Linked DNA regions of Oryzias latipes. The protein of the gene in region 1 binds, or shares a complex with, the protein of each later gene. Links are inferred from orthologs where the notes say so. Each region holds a gene or a part of one and is shown in the gene's direction. Other genes may lie near its edges.

Region 1 (4,027 bases):
GTGATGTGTGGTTGTCTAATTTTTTTTCATTGCATAATTAAAACCAAAATCTTCCCATCAGTAACAGCGTTCGTTGTGTATTTTAGAAATTCGTTCAAAACATGATGATACGACTACTAAGTATTTTAGATTTTGAATCATCAAAACGATACTACTTCCATGACCACTACTACTACTACTACTACTACTACTACTACTACTACTACTACTACTACTACCACAGGCTTACTGTTTATTTTAGGTTTTTGTTCAAATAATAATGATGCTAGTTCTGCAACTGCTATGTATTTTAGATTTTTAATAAAAAAAAAAACCCATACAAATGTACTACCATTACAGCAACTACTACTACTACTACTTACCACTTTTGCATTTTAGATTTTTCATTAAAACAATGATACTACAAATACTACAATTTATTTCCAATCAAAATACCACTGTGGTGACAAATGACGGGATCTGCCGAGAGGTGAACAAGTTGTTCAAACAAACACACACACACGCACACAAAGGGTCCATACAAACATTTATTCCTCAACTTACTTATCTGACTTACTAAACCTTCCAAGGTTCTATTGTTTATTGATGTAAAGCAAACCAAGGCAAAACTATTGTTGAAGAATCGCTTTTCTCAAATTTCCCTTCGTGGATTAATAAAGTTGATCTTGAAAGTGGATTAATAAAGTTGATCTTAAATCTTTCTCCCAGTTTTAGGGTCACAGTCCCTGAGTGTCCACCACTTTATTGGGCAACTGCCGTCTCACTTTTTTTTTAAAACCAATTTTCATTTCTCTTGTGATTTTTGAAGGTCAGTGGCTTGATGCCAGGTATTAGCCCCTTACATGATTTATTATGATTTAATACAGAGAGGACATCAACTCTTTCCATGTTGGAGATCCCCTTAGACTGATCAGAGCTGGTGGACCAAGATTTATCCATACCTTTTTGAATGAGATGTGGCAGCAATTAATTTTATTTTTAAATGTTATGTGTGCAATTCAAAGTTTAAAATATCTATTATCTTCTATTGTTCGACTATGAGAATAATGTAATAACTTGTGTGTATAACTACTAAGTCAAAAAAATCCTAATCAAATAAGATATTTTTCAAATTTCATGCAATTTCTTCATCTAATATGATATACATTGGACAGAAATAGAAAATATTTGATAAAACTCTTCTCTTGTACGACTGCGGAAACTCCGATTTTCTGGATGGCAGTGAATCTTTCACAACTTCCGCTAAATCCGTCGCTCCTTCCGGTTAGCTAGCGCAGTTCTCCCATTCTGTGTTGTTAGCTCTGAAACCTCTAGATACATTTATTTAACGTTTACACGGTTATTACAAACAAGTCATAAAACATGGCAGATGCAATTCAAAAGAAATTAAAAGCGGAATTAGAAAAATATTCGCAGGTGCAGAAAGGTAGGTACCTGTTAGCTGCTAGTGTGCCATGATGTTGTTACCATCGGGCAGCAGTTAGTTAGCCATGCCTGCACCCATGTTTCAAATATTTAAAGTAACTTTGAGATTTGACGTATTAAAAGAAATACAACTTACAAATGTCTGTTTTTTTTTCAGATGTGAGTAAAAGTATGTCCGTCAGGCAGAAACTGGAGACGCAGCTGACAGAAAACAACATAGTCAAAGAGGTACACGCCTAACCCTTAACAACATGTTTTTGTCCATTAGATATCTTTATGTTCAGTTTGACTGAAGATGTGACCTGTATATTTCCAGGAGCTCGATCTGCTGGACAGTTCTAACACCATTTACAAGCTTATCGGTCCAGTTTTAGTGAAGCAAGACTTGGATGAAGCCAAGGCCACGGTCACAAAAAGACTGGAGTACATCAATGGAGAAATGTAAGGAAAAGAAATACAAAAGAAAATGTATGGGATGCCCTAGTTAAAATGATATTTTCAAGCTTTAGTTTATAATATATAGCACTTACTATAAGCAGAGACGTTTATAGTCATTTATTTGTAATGAAATATCAGCCACAGAAGCTGGAAATCTAGTTTTTATGGGTAGTTCTGAAAATTCAGGATAGACTTGAACATATTTCGTCGCCATGGTAAAATTTTGACCACAAATTCTGAGTTCTACCTTGAATAAATAGAGAAACAAAATGCACGACGAGAACACCTGATTTAAGCTGTCTTTATAGAATATAGAATCACATAATTTGCCTTAAATTTACGCCATACCTTGAACCTTTTAATATTCAATTTCTACTGATACAATCTTATATCCTAAGACTGACAGTTGAAAGGTGAAGGCTTAATTTTTGACCTGAAACCCATAATTGTAGTATTTAAACATATAGACATTTTAGCAGACAGAAAACTATCTTATATCTTTACATTATAAATGGGGTCCAATGTGCCCCAGATGAGTAATTAGTCAAATTTTGGGGGAAATAAAATAATATATTAAAAAAATGAATACAGCTTTTGCTTTAAAATTAAATTAACAGTGTTGCTAAGTGATTATATCAGGTATTATGTTGCTTCATTCAATAGAAATATTTCTTTTTTTCATTACTGTGACACACTTTATGCTGGGGAAAACAGATGCATGTCACAGATATGCTTGTGTTTTTTTTTACATTAATATATAATAAAGACTGTACTCATAGTTTCTTTTAAATTAATGGAAGATGAAAAGTGGCTGATGAAAAAAGGGTTGTGCAGAAATAAAAGTTGACCTTGGCTGGTTGTACCTTCAAAAAAGAAATAAATGGGATCCCACAGCTGTCCGTTTGGGGCCTTAAATTAATTATGTCATATAATATTTACATGTTCTTAAAGTTAAAATAGTTTTATATTTGCTGTCCATGCATCTGAGATACTTTTGGACAGGTTTTTTCCCCATAATATTATATTTCATATCATTATGTTTGTAGTTGTTAAATTGTTTGTTCAATTAATACAAACTATCATTTATTTTAAACAAATGAATAGTAATTGTGAATAAATATTCTGACATTAACCTATTTATTAGCTTTTATCGTCTCATTATGTCATTTAGGCCTGCACAATATACCGCAAATTTATCGTTATCGCGACATCAAGCTGTGCAATATGCATACCGCAAAAGACGGCGAAAATCGCAATAAATGGTTACCTTAACCCTTGTGCTATCCTAGGCACTTTAACATTGGGAGTTGGGTCATCTAGACCCACTAGACAGTGCACTGAACAATTTTTCTTCAATAATTTGTGATCTTCACTGGTGTCCATGGATTACATGAAATCTTTCCACCTTTGTCCACCTTTGTCATGGTAGGGAGAACACGTCAATGTAAGGGGGGGGTCATCTAAGATAGCACAAGGGTTAAGTGTGCTAAAACAAACTCATGGCAGCTTGAAATATTGAACAAATGAAATAAATCCCTTTATGCATTTAACCAATCGGAAGGACCCGTTTACGCTGTTGATCAATCAAATGAGCCCTTTTATGTTTGATGTTTGCCTCCTACGTCGACAAGGGTCATTTGGAGTATGATTTTTATACTGTTGCATTGAAATGGAAATTATGTTTTTGGTTGGTTTGACATTTGTTTATATACCGCAAATTATATCGTTATCGCAATATTAATCACCAATATCGCATATCGCGAGTTTTCCTCATATCGTGCAGCCCTAGTGTCATTTGTATTTCATCTTTTAACGTCGGACACTGAAATCGTAAAGCAGTTTGTATCTTAAATCTGTCAAAAATGACTTTAGCATTAATCAAAAGGAGGATTGTGTCACACTATTTTAGGTTCTTGTTTATTTATTTACATATCTATGTTGTACAAGTATTTTGCCTGTTATTTTCTATAGGTAATTCTTTCTTCAGTTAAAACAAGAATTAGCTTTGATATTCTGTACTGTGTTGTAAAAACAAGTCTTTTGTTTTTACAGCAGCTCATTCATCCTGTTGGAGATTATTATTGAGCGTTTTTTCTGTCTTTAAAATTGTATTTTTTCTTAGACTTCTCTTTATAATACTGGTCACGTGCTTTGGTTACTTCAG
Region 2 (3,942 bases), on another chromosome or scaffold:
TCACGTGATCCCAGGAACCAATCAGACGTCAATACCAAGTTCAGTCATCATAGGCCCTTAGGTAAAAAAAAAAAGTTGAAGTGGTAAAAGACATTACATCTTGGCACTTTTAAAAGTGCTAAACAGTGTGAAGAAATCAAAGAGGCCCCACGTGCGCCACCCGCTGTCCATAAGGAGACACTGCAGGAATGTTTTATTGGGCCGCATCAAATGTCAGATACACTTGACAGTTCCCGTTATAATTTATTAAAAACGGACAGAGACATTCTTAAATTACACTAAATATAAACTACTTGACTCATGGGAAAAGTATTGCTCACAAACGTGACATACATCCAAAAGTATTAACATTTATTTATGTACTTATGTCTTCTAACTTTAAATTCGTGTAAAGTAAATCTTGTACAGAATATTTTCTATATAGAAAAGAGCAAAACATACGAATATTTTTGTAATTTGGTGCAAGAATATATTAATATCGGTAAAGAAAAACTTGAAAAACAACAAATACGTTATTTGGTATCGCCCATCCTTGCTTCACTACTTGTGCACATGCGCAAAGCATCTCAATATTTAAAGGAACAGCGCTTTGGCAAAACAAGCGTTTTTAAGTCGGTTTCGCGTTTGTGGTTTACCCGTGAAATCGCAGAGGCAGAAATGAAAACACATTGTAAATACCCGTAGTTTGTCAGCTGAGATGGGTGGAAAATGCGGGCGTTTATTTGGCTGTTCGACCTCCATGGTCGTGCCTCCGTCTGGCTCCAGTTTTCTCTTCTGGCTCTTCTTTGACTTCACTTTCGTAAACGATTCCCCGTCATCGTGCTTCTCCGGCGCCGTAGCTCCGCTTTCACTGGCGTCCATGGCAAAATACAGTCTTTAAAAGTTTAATAAAGTCCTTAAAAGGGTGGTGTGGACTGAACGGGGGGACGCACGAGATTGCCCTCGTGCACTGAAAAGGACCCCAAGGGTGGCGTCGTCGACGCTCGAAACAAAATGTTATTACCAGGTGTATCAAAAAGTACAATTTAAATGTAATTTAATCACCATCCCGCTTTTTAAATCCAAATAACTGTAAAAAAAATATTTATGTATGTGCTTTAAGAATAATTTAATGTATTTATTTTTAAATATCGGGAGAAAATCAGGCATATTTGTGGGCACCTATAAAGTCAGGACCTAACGTTGATATTTTGGTAGATTTTCTGTAGCGCAAAGTTCTATTTGATGTTCGATGTTTGCTTTGGTTTATTCGCTTAAATCGTAGTTTTCTGCTTCGGTGAATATGTCGTCTTCGCTGTCAAAGCCTCAGATCATCGCGCATGCTCACACGGGTCTAAACTTCACTGTGTTCGACTGTAAGTGGATCCCCTGCAGCGCCAAGTTTGTTTGTTTGGGCAACTTTCCGAGAGGAACCGGGGTGATCCAGATCCACGAGCTGCAGCACGGAGAAGTACAGCTTGTTAAAGAGGTGCACTGATGTCTTCATGTTGAAATCTTTCACCTTTAACCTCAACGAGCTGCTCTGAGCTGTCCAGAGAAGGTTTTCTCGCTTGTAGCCATGGCAACCCTAACCCAGCAAACACAGATTGAGTGCTAAGAATATAAGAACCTGTGATGTTTTTCAGCTCGAGAAACCCAAACCTATAAAGTGTGGCACGTTTGGGGCATCTTCCCTGCAGACCAGACACATAGCAACCGGGGATTTTGATGGAAATCTAAATATCTGGTATTTTGTCTGCATTTTCTCCTGCAAAAATCCATGTGTTGTGTTTTTCTGAGGTGATTTCTGAACAGATTTGTCATGGACAGGAATCTAGAGGCTGCTGATGTGCCTGTGTACTCTGTGAAGGCCCATAAGGAAATAGTCAACAGTATAGACGGAGTCGGAGGTCTGGGAATCGGAGAAGGCGCTCCTGAGATAGTGACCGGCAGCAGAGATGGTGAAGGCCATAGAGGCAAGACACAGTTAGAACAGCAAGAGTGGATCTGAGGTTCTGTTGGGTTTTCACAGGAACAGTAAAGGTGTGGGATCCCAGACAGAGAGACTGGCCTGTGGCCAACATGGAACCACTTGAAGGGGAAACCAGGAGGGACTGCTGGACTGTTGCATTCGGTGAGCAGAATTTTCAAAATAAAAGTTTTCACTTCTAAACCATAAGGATATAATGCTACCTATTCAGAGGACAGGAAAGTCCCTGTTTGACACCACAAAAGATGGTAAAGGTGAAGTTCAGTTTGATGCTACAGCATGCTGAGGTATCACTAAAGTCATATGGATCACCGTAAGGGTTCTGAAGTGTCAAAACGTTCAAATTTGTTCCGGTTAATTTAAATAAACGAACATTTTTCCTGAAAATCCTCAAAAATGTGATTGAATAAAGCAATTCTGCAGAGAAGGGTGGAACCAAATTTGTCCACAGGCACCAAAAATGTAATCAGACACAGCATAGCAGAAAATATAGACACATTTGTTCCTTACGAATCAAAATCGTCATTGGGTTGTGATTGTTTGACACCATAAAGCCTTTGACACTGTGAATTATGCCACAGTTCTGGCTTAAATATGATTTATCTTCATCCTGCTGTTTATTTTAGTAAAATAAAGTTCTATAACATTCTATAATTGTGTACAACAGTACAGAACTTTTTGAAATCCTTCATAAATTTGTGAAAGCCTGTTTTTTATTCGTTTGGCCTCATAACCGGCTTTCTTAAAACGATTTCAGGTCACGCCTTCAACCAAGAGGACCGATGCGTTTGTGCCGGCTACGACAACGGAGACGTCAAGCTGTTTGACCTGAGGAACATGTCTCTGCGATGGGAAACCAACATCAAGAACGGGGTGGGCTGAGGACATTACTCGTTTATGTGCGTGATCATAAATGATGCTGTGATTCTGTGTGGGTTCTCACTGGGATTCCTTTTTCCTGCGTTACGTTCAGGTTTGCTGCGTGGAGTTTGACAGGAAAGATATCAACATGAACAAGCTGGTGGCCACGTCTCTGGAGGGCCGGTTCCACGTGTTTGACATGAGGACGCAGCACCACACCAAAGGCTTTGCCTCTGTTTCTGAAAAGGTAACAAACCTTTGGGGACTCAGTCAGGTGCACCATTTTAGCATTTCCAGAAAGAGACAGCATCCCTCTAAAAACAACAGCAGTCAAAGCAAACAGAACTGTTTTGCTGCAAATGTCTTGAAGCAGGAGCCAGTCTGCTCACAAAGGAGCTGCAAACATTTGTTTTTTGCTCAGCTGGAAGATCAACTGATCAAATGTTTTTTTTCTAATGAAGGTGAACATTAAATTCACAAATTCAAACGTTCAATGTTCAGAACAATTTGAGCATAACCAACACTATTTCTCATTTCTATCTCTTATTTTTATTTCATTATTTCATTGCTTTCACATATGTAGTGAAATGTAACTTTTCAGTTTGTTTTGGCTTTTGTTTTATTATTTAAGTGCCTCAAGGGCCTGAATCATTCTTTTCTTAAGCCTTTCAGAGTAACGTATGTCCATATACATGATGATTATATATATGATGATAATATATATATATATATATATATATATATATATATATATATATATATATATATATATATATATATATATATATATACGACTGAGGCTCCTAATTAAGCTAACACTTTAAAATTTATTAGATAATTTTATTAATTAAAATAATTTCAACACACCGTTTGCATTTTCAACATTCTTTAGCTAAAACTAGCCTCTTTACTGACGTTAGGATTTAGCATCTGTAGTATTTTCAGCATTTTATTTATTTATTTATTTGTGTTTTTTTTATGTATCGCCTTTTCAGCACATTCTTTGTAAATACTGATGTAAAAGAAGTTTGTAATGTCTTCAAATACTTAAACTTTTAGCTGTTTGTCGGCCTTTTCATCACATATTTTGGCACTAAACATGAGGCTACATT
Region 3 (3,962 bases), on another chromosome or scaffold:
CCAGTGAACAGACGGAGTGAAGGATGCTGGCGCTGCTCCAGCGTTTGTGACTATAGTCTGTTCTGTTCCGGACTGTTCGGAACCATCCAGAACTCGCTGGCTAACAAATATAAGAGGTTTATGAGCTTATGGAGAAATCTCCTTACGAGGTGTTAAGCAGAACGATGACAAAAACACAACAATAACAGGAGACATGCCTACGTATGCATAGACATGTAATAATACATGTACTCCAATGGAAACGCATGCACTGTGCTAGGCTATGCAATCAGGTTATAGAGAAGAAATACTTTACCGTGGTGGACAAAACAAAGTACAGTACCATCGCCAGCAGTGCTCCGCTGCTCGCTATAGCCCCAACTGTCAACATAACAATTAATGGCCTCATTTTTGACAGCGACTTAAATAAAAATAATAATAAAAAGGCCCCAGTTATCGGAAAAAATCTATTTTGTTCATTGTAAGCGCACGTGACTCATTTCCACCCAGTGTTGTGAAACTCAAGTGGGTGGAGTCAAATGCTTGACAAGACAAGGAGGAAATGACGTATGAGGTTTTTCAAAACAAAAATAAAAATAAAATATAGGTCAAAACGTTCAAAAAAAGGGGGGGGGGTAGGAGATAGAGGTGCACGATATGAGGAAACTCGCGTTCTGCGATATCAATGATCAATATTGCGATGACGATATAACTAGCGATACATGAACAAATAGCAAAACAGCCAAAAGACAGTTTCTATTTCACTGCAACAGTTTAATTTAAAGAAGAGTCAAGATGACGTACTTAAATTATACTCAATGACCCTCGTCTACATTCTAAGATTTTATCTATTTTTATAGATAAAATGTGTCATAATTAAAACATAGAAGGTGATATATTTATTTATTATTAGCAAAATATACTAAGCTTTTTTAAAACCTAAATTCAGTCAGTAAAAAATAAATTTAGAAAGAGATTTTTAATTCTGAAGCAAATTTTTATTTTAATTTATTTTTTTTACCATAAGTAAATTGTCTTCAGATTTACATTTCCAATTAGCCGAAGTTAAAAAAAAATACCGAATAATTAAGAACATTTTATGAAGACTTAATAAATTCGCTCTGAAGATAATAACCTGGAGGACTTTTCTTTAAGAACAGTTTTTTTAAACGTCAACTCGATCAAACGCAATGCATTGTGGTATATAATATTGGCCAAGCCAGGAACCATCGATGCCATCGGATTTTTAGAAGAATATTAGTGATTTAAAAATACGAAAAGGAGAATAAATTGAGAAAGGATGGACGATGAAGAGGAAACTTACCGGCTGTGGAAGATCCGTAAAACAATAATGCAGGTGGATTAAATAAAAGGATATACTAGCTTAGCAGCGAACTAGCTGTTAGCTTCACATGTGGCTCGCGTTAAAGAGTCGCTTTTGACTGCCATTGTTAAAGTTGTAACTAAATCTTTTACGTTTTGTGTGTTAATCTCTTATTCTCAGTGCAAGTCGTTCCAATTACGCGCTCAGACTTTTTTTTTTAATTATTATGTGTAGGAATGATGCATTCGTTAGCCTCGTTTGAACGAAGGCTAACTTTAGCACACCCATGATGACCCATTAAAAAAAGCCAACATGTTTTCGTACATGTAGACTACATGTATGACAACATGAATGCTTCAAATCATTAAATACACTTTCACAAAGTTTGCTGCTAAACTGCTTTTAGATTTTTGTTTCTGTGATGTACTGAAATATAGTTATCAGCTCTTTATTACGTTTAGGCTTTTTTTAATCGACAATAATTATATGACATTTATGCAGAGAGTCAGGTTTTGCAGTGTTGGACTTCCTTTGTCAGCACCCCTGCAATTCGACTGGGCATGCTGTCAATCAACTTTAGGGCCAAATCCTGACCGATAGCAACCCAGATTGATTAAGATCTGGGGAGTTTCCAGGCCGTGGACCCAAAATGTCAACATTTTGGTCCCCGATCCACTTAGTTATCACTTTTGCCTCATGGCACGGTGCGCCATCGTGCTGGAAAATACATTGTTTGACGCCAAACTGTTGTTGGATTGCTGGAAGAAGTTGCTGTTGGAGGGAGTTTTGGCACCATTCTTTATTCATGGCTGTGGTTTTGGAGAAAAATGCGAATGAGCCCACTTCCTTGGATGAGAAGCAACCCCACACATCAAGGGTCTCAGGATGCTTTACTGTTGGCACGACACGGGACAGGTGGTAGCTCTCACCTTTTCTTCTCCGGACAAGCCTTTGTCCAGATGCCCCAAACAATCGGATAGAGGCTTCATGGGAGAATAGGACTTTGCCCCAGTCCCCAGCAGTCCACTCGCCATACTTTTTGCAGAAGATCAATCTGTCCCTGATGTTTGTTTTTGGGGTGGATAAGTGGCCATCTTCTAAAAGTCTCCGCCTCACTGTGCATGCAAATGCGCTCACACCAGCCTGTTGCCATTCCTGAGCAAACTCTGCACTGGTGGCGCTCCGATCCCACAGTTAAAACCCATTAGGAGACGATTCTTGGCACTTGCTGGACTTTCTTGGACGCTCTGAAACCTTGTTAACAAGAATTGAACCTCTTTCCTTGAAGTTTTTGATGATCCTATAAATTGTTGATTTAGGTGCAATCTTAGCTGCCACAATATCCTCGCCTGTGAAGCCATTCTTATGCAACGCGATGATGGCTGCACACGTTTCTTTGCCGGTCAGCATGGTTAACAGTGGCAGAACAATGATTTCAAGCATCACCCTCCTTTTAACATGTCAAGTCTGCCATTCTAACCCAACCGGCCTGACATCATGATCTCCAGTCTTGTGCTCGTCAACATTCTCAACTGAGTTAAAAAGACGATGACTGAAATGATTTTTGGGGGGGGGATTCATTTAATTTTCATGGCAAAGAAGGACTACGCAATTCATCTGATGACTCTTTGTAACATTTTGGAGAACATGCAAATTGCTATTATAAAATCCTAGGCAGCAACTTTTGCAATTTCCAATATTTATGTAATTCTCAAAACCTTTGGCCAACACTATACATATTAAAATGTTGTTTGTTTTTTTTAACCACAGCTCTGCCACGATCGAGGCTATCTGGTAACACAAGATGAGTTGGACCAGACCCTGGAGGAGTTCAAGAGTCAATTCGGAGACAAACCCAGCGAGGGTCGTCCCAGACGGACGGACCTTACAGTCTTGGTCGCACACAACGATGATCCCACTGATCAAATGTTTGTTTTCTTTCCTGGTAGGTTTATACTTGAGAATAATTTGGGAACTCATCCTTTTATCCATAAAATAACCAAAAGTTTAAGTTACACTCCAATCATATTTCGATTTATTTTTAAAGGAGTCCCCAGTGGTATTATATTTATGAATGCTCTGTTTTTAGCCAAATTCATAAAAACCTGTGTGGGCATCACTGTTGGCACGGACGTAAGCCCCTGCTGATATCCCATCATCCCTTTTTTGTTTACACACTCTCCCATTAGATTACATTGACTTTATTAGAGAATTGAGCCATGGTGACGTCGCCTTTCTTCCGGCTCCAGAGAAATGAAGCCAATAGACCCTTTTCATGGTGACGTCAGACAAAACAGAGACATGGGCGCCATTGTGTCACCGTACTTCTGGTTTTAGACGAGCAAAGCTGACAACTGAACGCTGTTTAACACCATTCTATGAGAAGAATACACACTAACCTTACCAATCGCAACGGCACTTTTTACATGATTTATTTTATAAATGTCATATCCAACTGTAGTCAATTTCCTCTTTTAAATCTTTCACAAGTCAAAATACAAATTTAAGTAATCCATCAATATTTAAGGTTCAGTTGAAAATATCAACCTTTCATTTGAGTCTAACAGGTTATATTTTTTTACAGTTTCCTATTCTTTTTATCATTTTTCTTTTTCGCAGATCAGACACAGTTATTGGCAATAGCAAAGAGGTTCAGTGT
Region 4 (3,949 bases), on another chromosome or scaffold:
AATCAATCAATCAATCAATCAATCAATCAATCATATAACAGAACAGCCTTTGCCACCATTGCATACTGTCTGAATGCCTCGGAGGGCTTGGGAATGTTGGACCTTGAGCCCCTGACCCTTCATGATGCTCAGTCCATCCATGATCTTCCACAGGTTTACGTTACCTCCGATAATTGTTCGGATCAGAGAGGCGTGGCCTGGACAGTCCACCAGGGTAAACTGCAGACTGTCGTACGGCTTCAGGCCCCCGCCGTCCCGCAGGTGATCCGGACAATCCACCGTGAAGGAGGAGAAGCCGAGGTCTAACGTGATGCCTCTCTCCCGGGACTGTGGGTTCTTGTCGAAAGCAGCCGTGGAGGCGGTGCTGCTCAGCGCTCTGGCCAGCGACGTCTTCCCGCTGTCGACATGTCCGAGGACCCCCACGTTGAAATTTAACGTTTTCGTGCGGCTGTCATGAGACTCGGACATCCTCTCGAAGTTTCCGAGCACGAACGTTTTCCTACCTTGAAACCTGAGCACCGCGTTGATAGTTATTTGGAAAAAAAATAACGTTCACTGCGTTAGTTGGTCAAATCAACAAGTCATTTTCGGTGCCTAAAGTGTCCCTAAAAAACTGCAGAGTTTATGGTGCTTACACTTTATTTCGTCCCCGATTACAAGACGAACCGGAACGTTTATATGCGGGGAACAAACCAAAATAAGAAAAATGTGATATTTAAATATTACAATTTAATAAAAAAATATAACACAGAAATATATTTCTATGTATAAAATAAATATTTTAAATTATCGATCAATTAGTGTTTTTTATACTGAGGCCTTTTTTGTGTGTTTCTATTACAACAAAATAAAACGAAGCACAGGAGGAAACAGGGGTGTGGTTTCAACTTTGATTGACAGAACATTGACTAATCAGAAATGCTCTTATCATGAGGAAAACCAATGGTTTTCAGACTAGTTAAAATGGGCGGTACCTCAGGGGTGTCGATTCCTGCTTTTTTCCCCTGGTAACCCACATGGAAACCGTGTTTTGACTTTTGGCGCCTCATGTAGTGGTCAGAGAAACGCAGACACTTAGGTGACATTTTTTAAACTTTACTTTGCGGCTTGGACAGTATTATAGCCAGTGCTCCTGTAACACTTGCAAATATGAAAATCGAGGAGGTAAAAAGCACCACAAAGACCCAGCGAATAGCTTCACACAGTCACGTCAAGGGACTCGGGCTAGACGAGGCCGGCAATGCTAAACAGACAGCATGCGGACTGGTCGGACAGGAGGCTGCCAGAGAGGTGATGTTAATCATCTTTTTTCTGTTTCAATTGTATTTTATTTTCCTTCAGACATTACTTGCACATAAGTTCCTATGAGAACACGGTAGCAAATTGCTAACCCCTGATGCTAACTGAGTTAGCACAGCTGCGTAGTTTTCTTCTCAGATAACCTGCGAGACTCCTCCTTAGTTAAATTAACACACAGTTTCCAAAGTAGCGATTTATTTTTTTTATTTCATTTAATATATTTCTTAAATTAAATTTAAAAAAATGAATTGAAATCTCTTGATTATATTTCCATCATACAGGTACAATTTTTATTTTATTGGGAAAGAAAAACGAAATGTGAAACTCAAACTAAGGTATATTTCTTATTACACATTTGTAAGTCGACAAAGAATCTACATCAAAACCGTCATAAAGTCAAATGTGATCTGTAGATTATTTAATTTTATTTATTGGATGGAACTAACAGCACTGACAGTTATTTCTTTATAATGGAAAATTGTTGGAACCATAATAAACAGTCATCATATTATTTTTTTTGTGTTTTTTGTTTGCTATTGTTACATTATGGCTGCTAAATAATTAAAAATGCAAAGAAAACTCTAATACATTATATAGATCGCAGTGTATTTTCTAGACTCTAAAGTGGAACAAGGCAGGATAATCGCCTCTAAAACACGTTTTATTTTATTTTTATTTGATGAAGAAGTTCATAACAGGATTTTCAACTTAATTTCATGATGTATTACTTCAGTTTTTAATTTCATTCCATTCTAAAAGCAGTATTGGGTGGATGTTAAAATATGTTTTTACATGCGTCGGAGGTTTCAACTGACCGATTGCACTTAAACACTGTTTTGAATTCTTACCTAAGAATCATCCTATTATAAGGAAAATTAAAATCAACACTGCACTGGCAAAGTTAAAAAAATAAACGATAATAATAATAATTTCCGTTTGTGTTTTTACCTACCCAAACAAGATTGTCTGTGCTGGTTTTAAAGGGCCAGTATCATGGTATTCTTAAGCCTTTTTTAGGGGGGGGGGGGTCCTGTGGTAGCATATTCTGTGAACTTGAGTGGGCGGTGGGGAGGGGGGGGCGACGACGACATTATATGGGATTTCTACCGAATATTAATGTAACGTCTTGCTTTAAATTTTTAAAATTTGAACATGTTTTTGTGTAAAGCACTTTGAGGGGCTCTAGAGGGAAAAGTGCTACACTAATAAAGTTTGATTTGATTTGATACGACGTTGAAATGACATTTATAAATCTCAGTTTGAGTCCTGCAAAAATGTATATCACCAAAACAATATCAATGTATCTGATAATACATCCTGTGGCACACAAAAGAACAAATCGACCTGCAACTTTCACGTTTCTGTTTATTAGTCTTACTCAACATCGTAGTTATAAAGACAGTTTTCCTTTTTCCTCATTGTTATACTTTAAACTAGGCCTGCACAATATACCGCAAATTTATCGTTATCGCAATATCCAGCTCTGCAATATGCATATCGCAAAAGACGGCGAATATCGCAATAAATCGCAAGCCCAAAATGTGTTAAAACAATCTTCTAGCAGCTTGAAGCATTTAACGAATCAAATAAATCCCTTTATGCTTTGACCAATCAGATGGACGCCTTCCCATTGTTGACCAATCAGATGGAGGCCTATTATGTTAACCCTGGTCCTGAAGAGCCTCAACCCTGCCTGTTTTCCAGCTCTCCTTAACCAGCTTGCTGTTGATTGGCTGACTCAAGTGATTTCACATCCTGATTGACTGAACACACCTGATTTTGGTTATCATTATCGAGCAGTCTAGGGAGAACTGGAAAACAGACAGGGTTGAGGCTCTTGAGGACCAGGGTTAGCCACCCTGACGTTTGTCCCCCATGTCGATGAGGGTCATTTGGAGTATAATTTTTAAACTGTTGCAATGAAATGGGAATGATGTTTTTGTTTATTTTTCTATTTGTTTATTTACCGCAAATTTATCGTTATCGCAATATTGATCACTAATATCGCATATCGCAAGTTTTCCTCATATCGTGCAGCCCTACTTTAAATGTTGTATTTCTCTTTGGTTTCTCTACCCTTTAGGCTTGTGGCATTATTGTTGAGCTGATCCAGGCCAAAAAGATGGCAGGAAGGGCCATTTTACTGGCAGGACCCCCTGGAACAGGAAAGGTAAAGCATCAGTGAAGATGCCGGCGGACTCTAACGCTCGTCCTTCATGCAGACTCTTACTGTGACGCCGTGTGTCTTCTGCCTTTAGACGGCCCTGGCTTTGGCCATCGCTCAGGAGCTGGGGAACAAGGTTCCGTTTTGCCCCATGGTGGGCAGTGAGGTCTACTCGTCTGAGATAAAGAAAACAGAAGTATTGATGGAGAATTTCAGGAGGGCAATTGGTGAGTGTAATCGATCCATTTATCCAACAGGAACCATGGCAACCAAGCCAGATAGTTTTGGAATTATATCCATGAAGACATAGGGTTTGTTAAAGCAGAGAAAAAACGTTTTTTCACAACTTTGCAGCGTTTGAAATAAGCAGTTATCCTGTTGTCAGAGACAACCAGATTTCCCGGAGGACAACCCCAAATGAACACGATGGTTGTCCGTGTGACAACCTGGTCTTTTATTCAACATTTTTGGGAAACCGACGTCCGA
Region 5 (3,989 bases), on another chromosome or scaffold:
TAACAAGACGATGAATGAAATGATCTCAGCTGGTTCTTTAATGACACCAATGAAATGCCGTGGAAAGAGTTTTGGGGGATTAAGTTCATTTTTATGGCAAAGAAGGACTATGCAATTCATCTGATCATCATAACATTATGGAGTATATGCAAAATGCTATTATATGTATTTAAGCAGCAATTATTTTCCAATTTCCAACAATATTTACGTCATTCTCCAAACCTTTGACCACGACTGTACACACTCACGTGCTGGTTGTCCTCAATCTCCTGCAGAGCCTTGATCTCCCTCAGAGCCTGATTGGGAATGCCGTCCTCCAGCTTCCTCAGAGCCACCTTCTTTAGAGCCACAGTTTCCCCGGTCTGTCAGAAACACGTTCATCCATCAGCCTGAATGATCACCTGTTCAGGTGTCTGTTTTTTCTGCTCCATGAACATGTTTCACCTGCACGTGCTTGGCCTTAAACACGATTCCGTGAGCCCCTTCTCCAATCCGGCCTAGGATGCTGTACTGCTCCATGATCATCCAGGACCCCTGCAGCTGCAGCGGGGATCTTTATGGACTTGGACTTGTTCCTTTACTTAACGGTTTTTAGTCCACGGGTTTTAAGAGCGGGGCTCCGGCGCGTCCAACCAAAATAAGCACGACATTTTGAACGGAACGAGACCGGAAGTGGGCGCTGATGTTGCCTCGGTCACATCTGATAAATAAAACTACGAAACTTTAGTATATCGTTGAATATTTAGTATAGTGCTGGATATTTACTTGATGCGTAAAGCTGATGACATGTACGCGACACCAAATGTGCGCTGTCCTTTGGCACTTGACGAGATATTTTGAAAACGTTTCAACTATAGTCAACGCAGCTCTCCGCCATGTTTGTTGACAGTGACGTCATCACAGGACAATCCAAATCAACGAAAATAAAACAACGAAGAAGAATAAATAAAATTAGCACAACCAGCCATTAAACAAAAACATATATATTTTAAAATTCATATTCACATAAGGTTTAACCCGGGAATTAGTTTATGAATAATTGCCACGTTCTATATATCTGGTAGAATATGGAAGAATAAATGTAAGTGAAAATGACCAAATAACAACTGTTTGCACAAAGTGCTTTAAACATAAAAAGAAATTAAATGTTCTTTTTTCTGCTCCTCTTCTACGCTGAAACCTGGAAGTATCTTGTCGGAGTACTTCCGGTTCAGAATCTTGTTTAGATGACTGCATGTGGGGCTGTGAACTTCTTTACAAGTGTCTGAGCTGAACCGGCCCGCAGAGCCCCCGCATTAGCCCCCCATCCCCGATGACTCCGCCCACAGACGCCGGTTCTGACTCGAGGATGGAAGAGAAGGTCCTTCAGTATGAAAGATTCATCGAGGAAGTTCTGAGGAGAGACCTGCGGTAAGCCCCTCTGGGTTCTGCTCCGGTTCTGAAAGTCCCCCTCTGATGAAAATCATGTTTTGTGACATTGTGGTATTTGTCTTATGAAATACAACAAATGGAATTAGACATGGTTTCATTTTTGCATTTCTGAGTGTTTCTCCTTTTAAACCGCTGTCAATCAAACTGTCTCAAAGACGCTCTGTTTGAACTAATGCGGTGTTGTGACGTCACAAAGGCCCAGGGGAGTATTCCAGAAAGCAGGTTATGCACCCACTATTGGAGAAAAATTGCCCCAGATATTGAATGGAAGAAAGTTTGGACTTTGTCCTCTAAATATTTTATTTCAAATAAACCCCGGGATGTTTGTTTTAAACTTCTTCACAGATGCTACCCAGCCAAATCCTCATTACACATAGACATTGATAAAAATTGCTCCTTTTGTAAATTAGACACTGAAACAATTATACATCTTTTCTGGAAATGCCCCCCAACAGCAATTTTTTGGAAAGACCTTACCTCCTTTGTTCGATGTTAAATTTATGAAAAATTTGATTTGGTATACAAGGATATATTATTTGGTTTTTATAGTGTTAATAATTCACTAAGAAGGGAATACTATTTAATTAACCTTTTGATAATACTAGCCAAATTCCACATACATAAATGCAAATTTTCTGAAAAAAAGCCCTTATTCAAACTTTTTATGATTGAGTTGAACCAATATATCAAAGCAATAAAACATTCTTCCAACCCCAAAGCTATAAGAACCTTTGACACCCTGGAATTTTTTTAAATGTACAGAATAGCAACTTACTGCTTTTTCTGCTCTTGTTTATAATTTTTTTTTTCTTCTTTCTTCTCCTTTGTTCTTTTGTTCCCCTGGCACATTTTGTTACTCTTTTTTTTTATCTGTGTACTTAAAATTTACTTGAATGAGTATCTTGTATATCTTCAATAAAGTTTATTAAAAAAAAAAAAAAAGAAAGCAGGTTATGCTAGCTCCCTCGGTACGTTTGAGGCTAAGGAAGTTGATAACCTCAGCTTTCAGTTCCAGAAATAGAGGTATGTTTCAGGTTATGTCAAGTTGCCATAGCAACTCATGCTCTGAACATAACCTGGTCTGGAGCAGGTTTAGTTGAAGGTTAGTTTGTTTACAGAGAGGTGAAGCAGCATGGCGTGTCCATTTGAAGATGATTTAGTGGATGAAGAAGCTCAGATAATACTTTTTACACCATGAGAGGGTGATAAGACCACATATGGATGTTGGAAAGATAAACTTTTTTACTTTGATCTAACTTCATTATTTGCTTCAGTTAAGATAAATAATTTTTTTCAGTTCAGTCAACTTAAAAATAACACATAGTTGTCAGACAGTTATTTTACTTTCATTCAAATTAATTCAATTGAGTAGGTGTAACTTTGGTGCTGCTGTTAGATCGGCACCGCAAGGGATTGTGGGATAGCATTCCCTTTGCCTGTCTGGACGGATTTGGGTTTAAGTGTGGCTTTTTGACCAAATGTGTTTAGTTGTTTAGCTGTTTTTATTGTGTTTTGCCCAGTTATTTGTCCTACTATGCTTAGGTCTCTGCACCATGAGGGAGAGGATGATGAGATTATATATATGTTATATATAGAGAGACCTGAAAGAAAACCTAAAGTTCAGGAGGTCAGAGCAGGCTGGCTCCCCATCCTGCAGCAGGTCTCTGTCTGGCCCCCAGCTCGCCTCCTGGGAGCCGCATAGTGAGATCAACCGCTCCAGCTCCATGGGCCCTGGGACAGACTGTCCAGGCTTTAGCCGCCTTTGTTCAACAGCAGCTGGTGTAGGTAGCATAACCATTCAGCCTGCAATAACCGTTTGGGGTCCTTTCGACTGAGGATGATGTCACATTACGGTAGCCCCACTTGGACAAACTACGTAGCGTGGAGATCTGCTCGGGCTCTACATATTCTCATTTCACGTTTCCTTTTATAACATAAAGTTCTTTTCCCTCTTAAGTTGTGTCTGACATTATTCTTTGTAGTGTTTATAGAGATTTTGCCACAACCCCCTTTGTAAAGATCTGTGGCTGCTAGAATGAACCTGCTGCTCCACAGAGTGAACCCTGTCTCTGAGCAGAGCAGCTGGAGTCTCGTAGCTTCGTGTTTACAGGCAGGGAAGCTGCTTTGTCATAGTGTGCGGTCTGGAGAAGGGTTCTGAACGCAGTCCATTCATCTGCAATGCACCTAATAATAATCATAATATTAAAAGCACGTTTAGAAGATAATGTCGCTCTGTGTCGGAGCTCTGTTTGTTTACAACGGACCGTATAATATCTTCTTCTATGGTAGTATTGTCATTTGTCCAGACCAATCACTACCTGACACGTCATTGGACCAACAGACAGTCATCACATAATGTGACGTCAGCACTAGTCGAAGGACCCTGAACGGTTGTTGCAGGCCGAACTGTTATGGTACCTACACTGGGACGGTACTGAAAAAAGTCCAGCGCTTGCCGGACTTATTTGGAAAATTGCAAGAGAATTGTTACTTTCTTTCTGGCCTTTCATTTGAATTGCTGTGCAAGTGAATTCAACAATCTGCATGTCGTTGCATCA
Region 6 (4,197 bases), on another chromosome or scaffold:
ATCTGTAAATGTGCATTTTATGATTGTTTTGAAGCTGTTTCAGGGGAAAAATCCTTCAGTATGTTTACATAACTGCTACATGTCAAGGAATATGGACAAGCCTGTATGTTTTTAATTAAACAACAAATCTTTTAAAATGTTTGTTTTCATGTCCTAATAACTTGATTATGAAGCTTGTGGTTTGTCAAAATAAATAACAGCTACATTTACAAGCAGAAGGCAGTAATGCTTCCCAACCCTGGGTTTTATATTTGTCTTTCTGCACGGATCTTTCTCAGGTTTTTGACCTGAAGATGTGAAAAAAATCTGAATTTTATTTACAGAGATTGAGATATTTTTAAATCTAATGTGTTGTCTAATGTTTCAGTGTCCCCCATCCGCTTAAGTCTAAATTTTAAATACATGATCAGAATAAATTTTGTTTAACACTTAAAAAAATACAAACACACCCAATAAAGCAAACAGATGAATGAACCAGTGGTCCAGGTTTAGCCACTTAATTTTACTTTGGGCAAATACTGAGACAAAAAAATGTAAACTCTCTTTTCATGTACATTTGGATAACATTTATACTATACGCAGCATAAAACACAGCTGTTTATTCATTTCGCCTCCTCAGTTTCCAAAAAAGCAGTGAAATCAAATGTTTGTATGGGCATCAGAAATATTCTGCTTGTCATAGGCCAATGGGAAATCTTATATGTTCAGATGGTTCAGACTTAAGTTCATCATTAGCAAATATTAAAAACTGTAAATAAGAAAGTAGACCAGATATTTCCAGCAAACATTGGGGGTTACTAAAAACAATGCGGGTCATTGTGATATTTTCTGGGTTCAGCTCATATAGAGAAACAAGATGATGAAATAGCCACTAAATGTGCTTGAATAGTTTCCAATAAAGGATTTTGAGTTAAAGATCAGTCTTAGCAAAGCAGAGATAAAAACATAATCAAAGAGAGAAAGAAATATGACGAAGACACTGGGAGAAGGAACAAAGGAATAATAGAGGGGAAAATGATGAGAGCGGGACAACATAGGATAGGAAAAGAGCAATAACTAGATTGAGACGTAAGACTCGAACGTTTTTAAAACATGAATACATTTTTTTTAAACTAAAAAAAAAAAATCCAAATTTAAACAACCTTGAAATGTTGAACATGAAGTTTGAGGTATCTGTAAATTTAGGCAATGGTCGATGTGCGCTTTTTTTTATTTATGAAATTTTTGCAAATTAAGATTGAATTCATTTTTTGAGAAGATTCCACTCGAATGTAAGTAAGAACGTGAAAGTTAAGAAAAGATCCCGGTTTACACTCCACTCCAGTTGGCGGCGGTAACGACCAGCAAGCTGTTTGCCTACCGCCAAGAAAATGCAGAAGATGAAGCGTTCCGCCTTCTCTTGTGTTTCTCGTAGAACATATTTAGATGCGACACCGCCAACATGGATGCGGGTTCGCAGCGTGTGCTGGACTACCTGACAGAAGTGGAAGAAGCAGCCGAGGAGGTTATCACAACCAAACAGCAGGTATGTTGTGACGAACCGCAAATCGTTTCTTTTTTCAAAAGTCATGTTTAACATAGATAGCTTCAGCTAGCAAAGAGGTCACCGAACCGCTTCACTAGCTTAAAAACAAGTGATACTGAAGTTCAAGTTGGGCTGCCTGGATGATGATCATGATGGATCGAAATTTCTGTTCACAAAATTGAGTAAAAAATATCCTAAAATAATATTTTATGTCATGTTATACTATGAATTAGATGGCGTGTCCAACAAAATATTTTTTGTATTGATGATCTGTTTGGGGAAATTCCACTCACAGAGATGTAAACAAAAAAAGAAGTGTTTTCCTCTACTTAAACGTAATAAAGTTGAAAAGAAATTAGATAAAGATTAGCTTGATACCACTCTTGAAGAAAGACAGAAATTCAAAAGTTCTGCTTTCAATCTGGCTCTATTTGACATTTTAAAGATTTTATAAGAAATTTATTTGCAAATGAAATTTTCTATAAACTACAAGTGGATATTTTAGCAGCTAGTGCAGCAAACACGGACAATTTCTCTTTTAACATAAAATCTACTATAAATTTTGATCATAATATCTGTGACATAAATGGACACTCTGTCTTTGTTAGTTTAGTTCACTTTATATTCTTTTTGGCTGTCACCAGCCAGGGTCTTACTTTGACCCATTTTCTTCATTTAATAACCAAAAATTGGATACTAAATTAGGTAAATATGAATTCATGTGTCTTTCTTTTTTTTTTCTTTTCTTCAGATAGTGGACCTGGACTTGAAGAGAAACCGGAACAGGGAGGCGCTGAACGCTCTCAAACATGAGCTGTCTGATTCAGGTGAGGCAGGACCGGGTCCCGTCATGTTTAGAGGCAAGAAAGGAAAACCTGATCGCTGCATTTATGAAATATGTCAGAAGTGCTGCTGTTAAATAACAAACCCAGCCTTTTCCAGCCTTAATGTTCTTGTTTTTGTTTGCAGAGAATGTGAAGGTTTGCTTTGGAAACATGTTTATTGAGTTTGACAAATCCAAAACTAAAGGGATGGTCCAGAAAGGTAATCCTTAAAGAAAACACACTTCCATGCTTTATGTGTTTATTCATAAAAATAAAAATGTATTTCTTTTGTGCTGCAGACCAAGAACAGCTGGATAAAGAAATAAATAACCTTCGCAGAGAACTGAAAACTAAATTCAATCATCTCAATGAGATTCAAGGTATGCAACTCTTTCAAAATAAGAAAACAAAAAAGGAAAAATTAAAGCTGACAATTTTAATAAAACGCTTTACAGGCTGTGTAGCAGAAGGGGAAACGTGATTCCTCCCTCTGGTCCTGCCCTCCTGTTGGAAGGAGAAGAGGTGTTGCATTTCTCTTTTGGATGAACATAAAGGGGTTTTGGGAAGAAAAGAAGTGCTGTAAAACACTGGTAGCCATTTGGAACAGAGGATGTTACTTTTGACAAGTTGAAAACTCACAAAACTCAAGAAAAGTTAATAAGCTAAAATAGGTTCCTAATTCCAAAATGTTAAACTGACATTTGTGAAAATGTGAAATATCAAGACAAATTAATTAACAGCGTTCATTTGGGGCTTTGCACTGTTTCTGTAGAGTTCAGTTACACAACGTACTTGTCGGTCGTTCCGGTTGAAGCCAGTTGCGTAACTGCGGAGTCCTAAGGTGACACAAATAAATACTGCAAGCTAAGAGTGGAAACACCAAGACAACAGCAGACCTCATAATATATCTTTGTTTACAGATTTCTTTGCATTTTCTCTGACTGAGCTGCTGTAAGGTTCCAATGCCACAAGGGGGCAGCACACTCAAAAGCAGGCGAAATGTTAGTCTACAGATGTTTTCCACCTGCTCACACCTACAGACTGATCTGATCTGCACATGCACTCTTCTAGACACTCAGTTCAGGAGCCTTTACTCTGTGTCCAGGTCACTACAAACATTTTTTTTAATCATTAGTGCGTCTCTAGAGCTATCATTTTCTTTAGTAAAATACAAACAAATTAAAATAAAGTACCGTAAAATGTTTGCACCAGGAGGGGTAAAACTGTCTCATAACAACAGCAACTAGTGGAAAAGATGCCCTGACGCTTCATTCAAACATTCAGAAGTCAAAGTAAGTTTCATCAATTAAACTTTTATTATTGAATAGCTAAAACTATTCCCTTCATTTCTGTAGGTAAACCGGAGCTCAGAGGCTACAGACTGTCTGCACTGTCCTCTGAGGAGATCAAATCTATCAACAGCCTCCTGAAGACCTGATTCTCCGGCTGTTTCGAGTCACTTCTGAGAGAATGAAGCGCCAAAGCTGCAGGCCTGAGTTCCAGCGCCACATTTAAACATCATTTAAACATGCTTATTAAAGGCACCTTGGCTGGACGGTTGGACTGTCGGGGATTCGTGCAGGACACTTCTGCAGGTTCAAAAGATGACAAACATGTCCTTTTTTGCACCCGGTTCCTGGACTGTTTTAATAAAGTTCATATCTATTATATTTACAGTTTTAAAGTTGTTTCCTTTAGTAGACAGCAGCAGAATCTATATTAAACATCTTCTAGAATTGTAGTAGTTAAAGATGGCTGTACTGACTGGTCAAAGTCCACTTTCCAAACTCTCTTTAAAGGAGATGTTTGGATGTCCATGTTCCTCTGACTCTGAAGTTTTTGTGTAAA
Region 7 (2,922 bases), on another chromosome or scaffold:
CACAGTTTTGACTCAAACTGAAGAGTAAAAAAAACAAAACAACTATGAGGTATGCAAAAGCTATTTAAATGCTGAGAGACTTCAAAAGAAAAAAGGCAAAGACAAGGTTGAAATAAGCTGCAGAGTTCAGCAGGTATTTCAACATTCATTTTTTTTTGGTTGTGTGATCTTTGAGCAGGGAGGTGGGGGTTAGGTTGAAACTGCTTTTAAAGGGGGTTAAGCATCTGTTCGTCTACAGACAGATCAAGTCAACAAAAAGCTTTAGTCCCCGAAAAAATGCACTTGCATGTGTTATTTTTAATTTGATGATTCAACATCAGCAGATGAAAGCATGTCATATTATAACTAAAATATAAAAAAGCTAAATTATCTTAAGACAAGGCAGGTTGGTTTGTCTTCAGCCACTACTTTAGTTTAGTTTTACAAGTAAACAATGAAAAAATACTTTTTTAACTAGAGATACTGTTCCAGCCTAGCAACAATTGGCTGGAGGTGTATTTCCCCCCAAAAGCAATATTTTAAGAAGTGTTTCTGGGGTTAAAGTAAAGGGTAGGGTTAACAAAGGTGCAGCTTTCAGAGGCTCTGATGTCAGAAAAAAAAGGAAAAGAAAAAAAGGAACAAGACACAGACAGTTAATTGGGTGTTTTTAAAGACTACTTAATAGCTTCAGGTGGTTTTGAAAACTGATCAAAAATGATCAACATATCAGATGTGCAATGGATTCATTATTTAATTTATGCTTAATTGATTTTATTTAATCAGTGTTTCTTTTTGTTGCTTTTTTCTTATATGGAAGTGTCACTTTAAATGAAAATTAAAACCGGGTAGAAACAGAAAAGTCTAACTTCTTCTGTCTCGAACTTGCTTAGCTGATTAAATTTTAACCCAATTCCGTTTAAAAAACTTTTTTGTAGTAGCCCAATACTATTTTTTTAGTCTTAAGAAAGTAAATTACATCAAATCTGTTATTTAAAGACATTCTTATTCAATCTGTGTTTACCCCTTGGTTACCTATAATTTGGCAGGCCCCGGACCCTGAGATGTGTAGCGGGTGTTTTACAAATCTGGCCTCTAGGCGGCAGTGTGCTTCGAACTCCCCACCTATTTCTTCACCCGGAACGGTTATGACGCATATCCGGACATGTTTGTCGCAGAAGTAGACGCTGTTAAGAGAAAAATTAGATAAAAAGTTTTCCCTCGTGGCTCCTTTATGAAAATGTCTTCAAAAAAATACAATAACAGCGATAATTCCCAAGAGCAAACCACATATAAAGAGGAACTCAGTAAAAAGGTAACTTTATATCAAAGACGCGCTACTGTTAGCTGGCTAAACAACACGGATATGTTTATTCACCTTTTTCAGCATGTATAGTAGAACGGAAAAACGAATAGCAATACTTTTGTTAGTATTTACGCACCAATAGTATGTATTTACTGTTTTAATAAGTTTCGATTTTCTCATGTTTGCTGGAAAAATGAAGGACTGCTGATCTTTAAATTAAAACTTAACATGATGGGATACATCTCCTGATGGCTTCATCATCATAGGGTTGTTAACGTTAACTTGTTGCTAATTTCCAGATCAAAGAGCAAAAGGTCGTTGTGGATGAACTCTCTAACCTAAAGAAGAACAGGGTACGGTAATTACCTTTTTACATCCATCCATCCATAAATCCATCCATCCGTCGTAATAAATTCATTTTTTATTGATTTTTTTTTTCTTTTCTTCAGAAAGTTTACATCCAACAGAGAAACAGCAACATTTTCTTCCTGGCTGACAGAAGTCAAACATTGTCTACAAGCAGAAGTATGTGTTAGTATTCATTTATCCTCTTGCATTGAAATTTTTACAATGTTGTACCATACTACAATATAACTCACCTTTTTTTTTTTAAAACTTTTTTTATTTTTATTCTTGCAGAGGAACTGGATTACTTGAAAAAAGAACTGCAGGATATTTAGAGCTGCAACAATGTGTGGAATCTTTTTCCAGTTGACTTTGTCAGCTGCTCAATTTGAGAAGGACAAAAGAATTTATGAATTTCTGAAGAGAAGGGGCCCCAACTCTAGCAGGGAGCTATCGTTTCCTGCTGTAGATTTGAGCTATCACTGCTCATTTTCTGCCCATGTTCTCCATATGAGAGGCCTCCTTACTCTTCAGCCGTTTCAAGACGACGCTGGAAATGTCTTGATGTGGAATGGAGAGGTTTTTGGAGGGATTTCTGTGATGCCAGAAGAGAATGACACCACTGTCATCTGTCAGAAATTGTCATCTTGTAAAAACTCTTTGGAGGTTCTGGCACTTCTGTCTGCCATTCAAGGGCCTTGGGCATTTGTTTTCTATCAAAAGGCTGAAGATTATCTCTGGTTTGGGAGAGACCTTTTTGGAAGGCGCAGCTTGCTGTGGAAATATGACGCCGAGATCAGTGTCTTCACTTTGACCTCAGTGGCAGCTGGGATTTCTGCGCTGGGTCAGTCTGATTGGAAAGAAGTCCCAGCTGTTGGCGTGTTTAAGGTTGATGTAAAGGCAGCTGCACAGAGTGGTTCTGTGTCCTTTGAGCTTTTTCCCTGGGCAAGAAATGTCATAAACCCATCATTGAGTGAAATGATGGTTAACTCTGTCCCTAGTGGGTGCAATTTTGAGATAAATCGAGCAGGTTTATCAATCACTTCACCTGTTTGTCCTTTGAATATGTCCATTCCAGAAAAAAAGGTTGAAGTTAATCCCAGTTCACAGGTGTCTGGAGGAAATCTAGAGGAGTTTCTAATCAGCAAGGAGAAAACTGAAGTTGTGAACCGTCTAATTGGTGTCCTGAGTGAGGCGGTGAGGCGACGAGTTCATTCGTTGCCTTTTGTGGCAAAAGATAATTTACCTCTTAGCAGTGGCCAGGCTAGCATTGCTATACTCTTTTCAGGAGGCAT

The links.
Region 2: pfdn6 (region 1) and wdr92 share a complex: the UniProt entries of both Homo sapiens proteins name them as parts of the PAQosome complex. The link is inferred for Oryzias latipes from reciprocal best matches to the Homo sapiens genes PFDN6 and DNAAF10.
Region 3: pfdn6 (region 1) and polr2e share a complex: the UniProt entries of both Homo sapiens proteins name them as parts of the PAQosome complex. The link is inferred for Oryzias latipes from reciprocal best matches to the Homo sapiens genes PFDN6 and POLR2E.
Region 4: pfdn6 (region 1) and ruvbl1 share a complex: the UniProt entries of both Homo sapiens proteins name them as parts of the PAQosome complex. The link is inferred for Oryzias latipes from reciprocal best matches to the Homo sapiens genes PFDN6 and RUVBL1.
Region 5: pfdn6 (region 1) and uxt share a complex: the UniProt entries of both Homo sapiens proteins name them as parts of the PAQosome complex. The link is inferred for Oryzias latipes from reciprocal best matches to the Homo sapiens genes PFDN6 and UXT.
Region 6: pfdn6 (region 1) and pdrg1 share a complex: the UniProt entries of both Homo sapiens proteins name them as parts of the PAQosome complex. The link is inferred for Oryzias latipes from reciprocal best matches to the Homo sapiens genes PFDN6 and PDRG1.
Region 7: pfdn6 (region 1) and ASNSD1 upstream open reading frame protein share a complex: the UniProt entries of both Homo sapiens proteins name them as parts of the PAQosome complex. The link is inferred for Oryzias latipes from reciprocal best matches to the Homo sapiens genes PFDN6 and ASDURF.

The regions. Positions count from the first base shown.
Region 1 is NC_019868.2:26,685,025-26,689,051, forward strand, and holds the start of pfdn6 (prefoldin subunit 6), read left to right. Parts: upstream 1-1,227; 5' UTR 1,228-1,362; coding exon 1,363-1,426; intron 1,427-1,582; coding exon 1,583-1,653; intron 1,654-1,741; coding exon 1,742-1,866; intron 1,867-4,027. UniProt on the Homo sapiens protein: Binds specifically to cytosolic chaperonin (c-CPN) and transfers target proteins to it. Binds to nascent polypeptide chain and promotes folding in an environment in which there are many competing pathways for nonnative proteins.
Region 2 is NC_019873.2:11,204,578-11,208,519, forward strand, and holds the start of wdr92 (WD repeat-containing protein 92), read left to right. Parts: upstream 1-1,142; 5' UTR 1,143-1,282; coding exon 1,283-1,468; intron 1,469-1,625; coding exon 1,626-1,726; intron 1,727-1,809; coding exon 1,810-1,940; intron 1,941-2,011; coding exon 2,012-2,113; intron 2,114-2,726; coding exon 2,727-2,842; intron 2,843-2,942; coding exon 2,943-3,077; intron 3,078-3,942. UniProt on the Homo sapiens protein: Key assembly factor specifically required for the stability of axonemal dynein heavy chains in cytoplasm.
Region 3 is NC_019862.2:26,974,829-26,978,790, forward strand, and holds the start of polr2e (DNA-directed RNA polymerases I, II, and III subunit RPABC1), read left to right. Parts: upstream 1-1,162; 5' UTR 1,163-1,279; coding exon 1,280-1,336; intron 1,337-3,073; coding exon 3,074-3,248; intron 3,249-3,962. UniProt on the Homo sapiens protein: DNA-dependent RNA polymerase catalyzes the transcription of DNA into RNA using the four ribonucleoside triphosphates as substrates.
Region 4 is NC_019863.2:3,775,525-3,779,473, forward strand, and holds the start of ruvbl1 (ruvB-like 1), read left to right. Parts: upstream 1-1,149; coding exon 1,150-1,290; intron 1,291-3,382; coding exon 3,383-3,469; intron 3,470-3,557; coding exon 3,558-3,690; intron 3,691-3,949. Other genes in the region: eefsec (selenocysteine-specific elongation factor), read right to left, coding at 165-468. UniProt on the Homo sapiens protein: Possesses single-stranded DNA-stimulated ATPase and ATP-dependent DNA helicase (3' to 5') activity; hexamerization is thought to be critical for ATP hydrolysis and adjacent subunits in the ring-like structure contribute to the ATPase activity.
Region 5 is NC_019865.2:33,765,944-33,769,932, reverse strand, and holds the start of uxt (protein UXT), read left to right. Parts: upstream 1-1,189; 5' UTR 1,190-1,312; coding exon 1,313-1,410; intron 1,411-3,989. Other genes in the region: cdk20 (cyclin-dependent kinase 20), read right to left, coding at 249-362, 445-525. UniProt on the Homo sapiens protein: Involved in gene transcription regulation. Acts in concert with the corepressor URI1 to regulate androgen receptor AR-mediated transcription. Together with URI1, associates with chromatin to the NKX3-1 promoter region.
Region 6 is NC_019863.2:18,202,525-18,206,721, reverse strand, and holds the start of pdrg1 (p53 and DNA damage-regulated protein 1), read left to right. Parts: upstream 1-1,397; 5' UTR 1,398-1,441; coding exon 1,442-1,525; intron 1,526-2,276; coding exon 2,277-2,352; intron 2,353-2,494; coding exon 2,495-2,569; intron 2,570-2,648; coding exon 2,649-2,729; intron 2,730-2,804; coding exon of another isoform or gene 2,805-2,830; exon of another isoform or gene 2,831-2,871; intron 2,872-3,704; coding exon 3,705-3,787; 3' UTR 3,788-4,197. UniProt on the Homo sapiens protein: May play a role in chaperone-mediated protein folding.
Region 7 is NC_019879.2:16,672,538-16,675,459, forward strand, and holds ASNSD1 upstream open reading frame protein, read left to right. Parts: upstream 1-1,131; 5' UTR 1,132-1,210; coding exon 1,211-1,291; intron 1,292-1,581; coding exon 1,582-1,635; intron 1,636-1,731; coding exon 1,732-1,807; intron 1,808-1,921; coding exon 1,922-1,962; 3' UTR 1,963-1,972; downstream 1,973-2,922. Other genes in the region: asnsd1 (asparagine synthetase domain-containing protein 1), read left to right, coding at 1,973-2,922.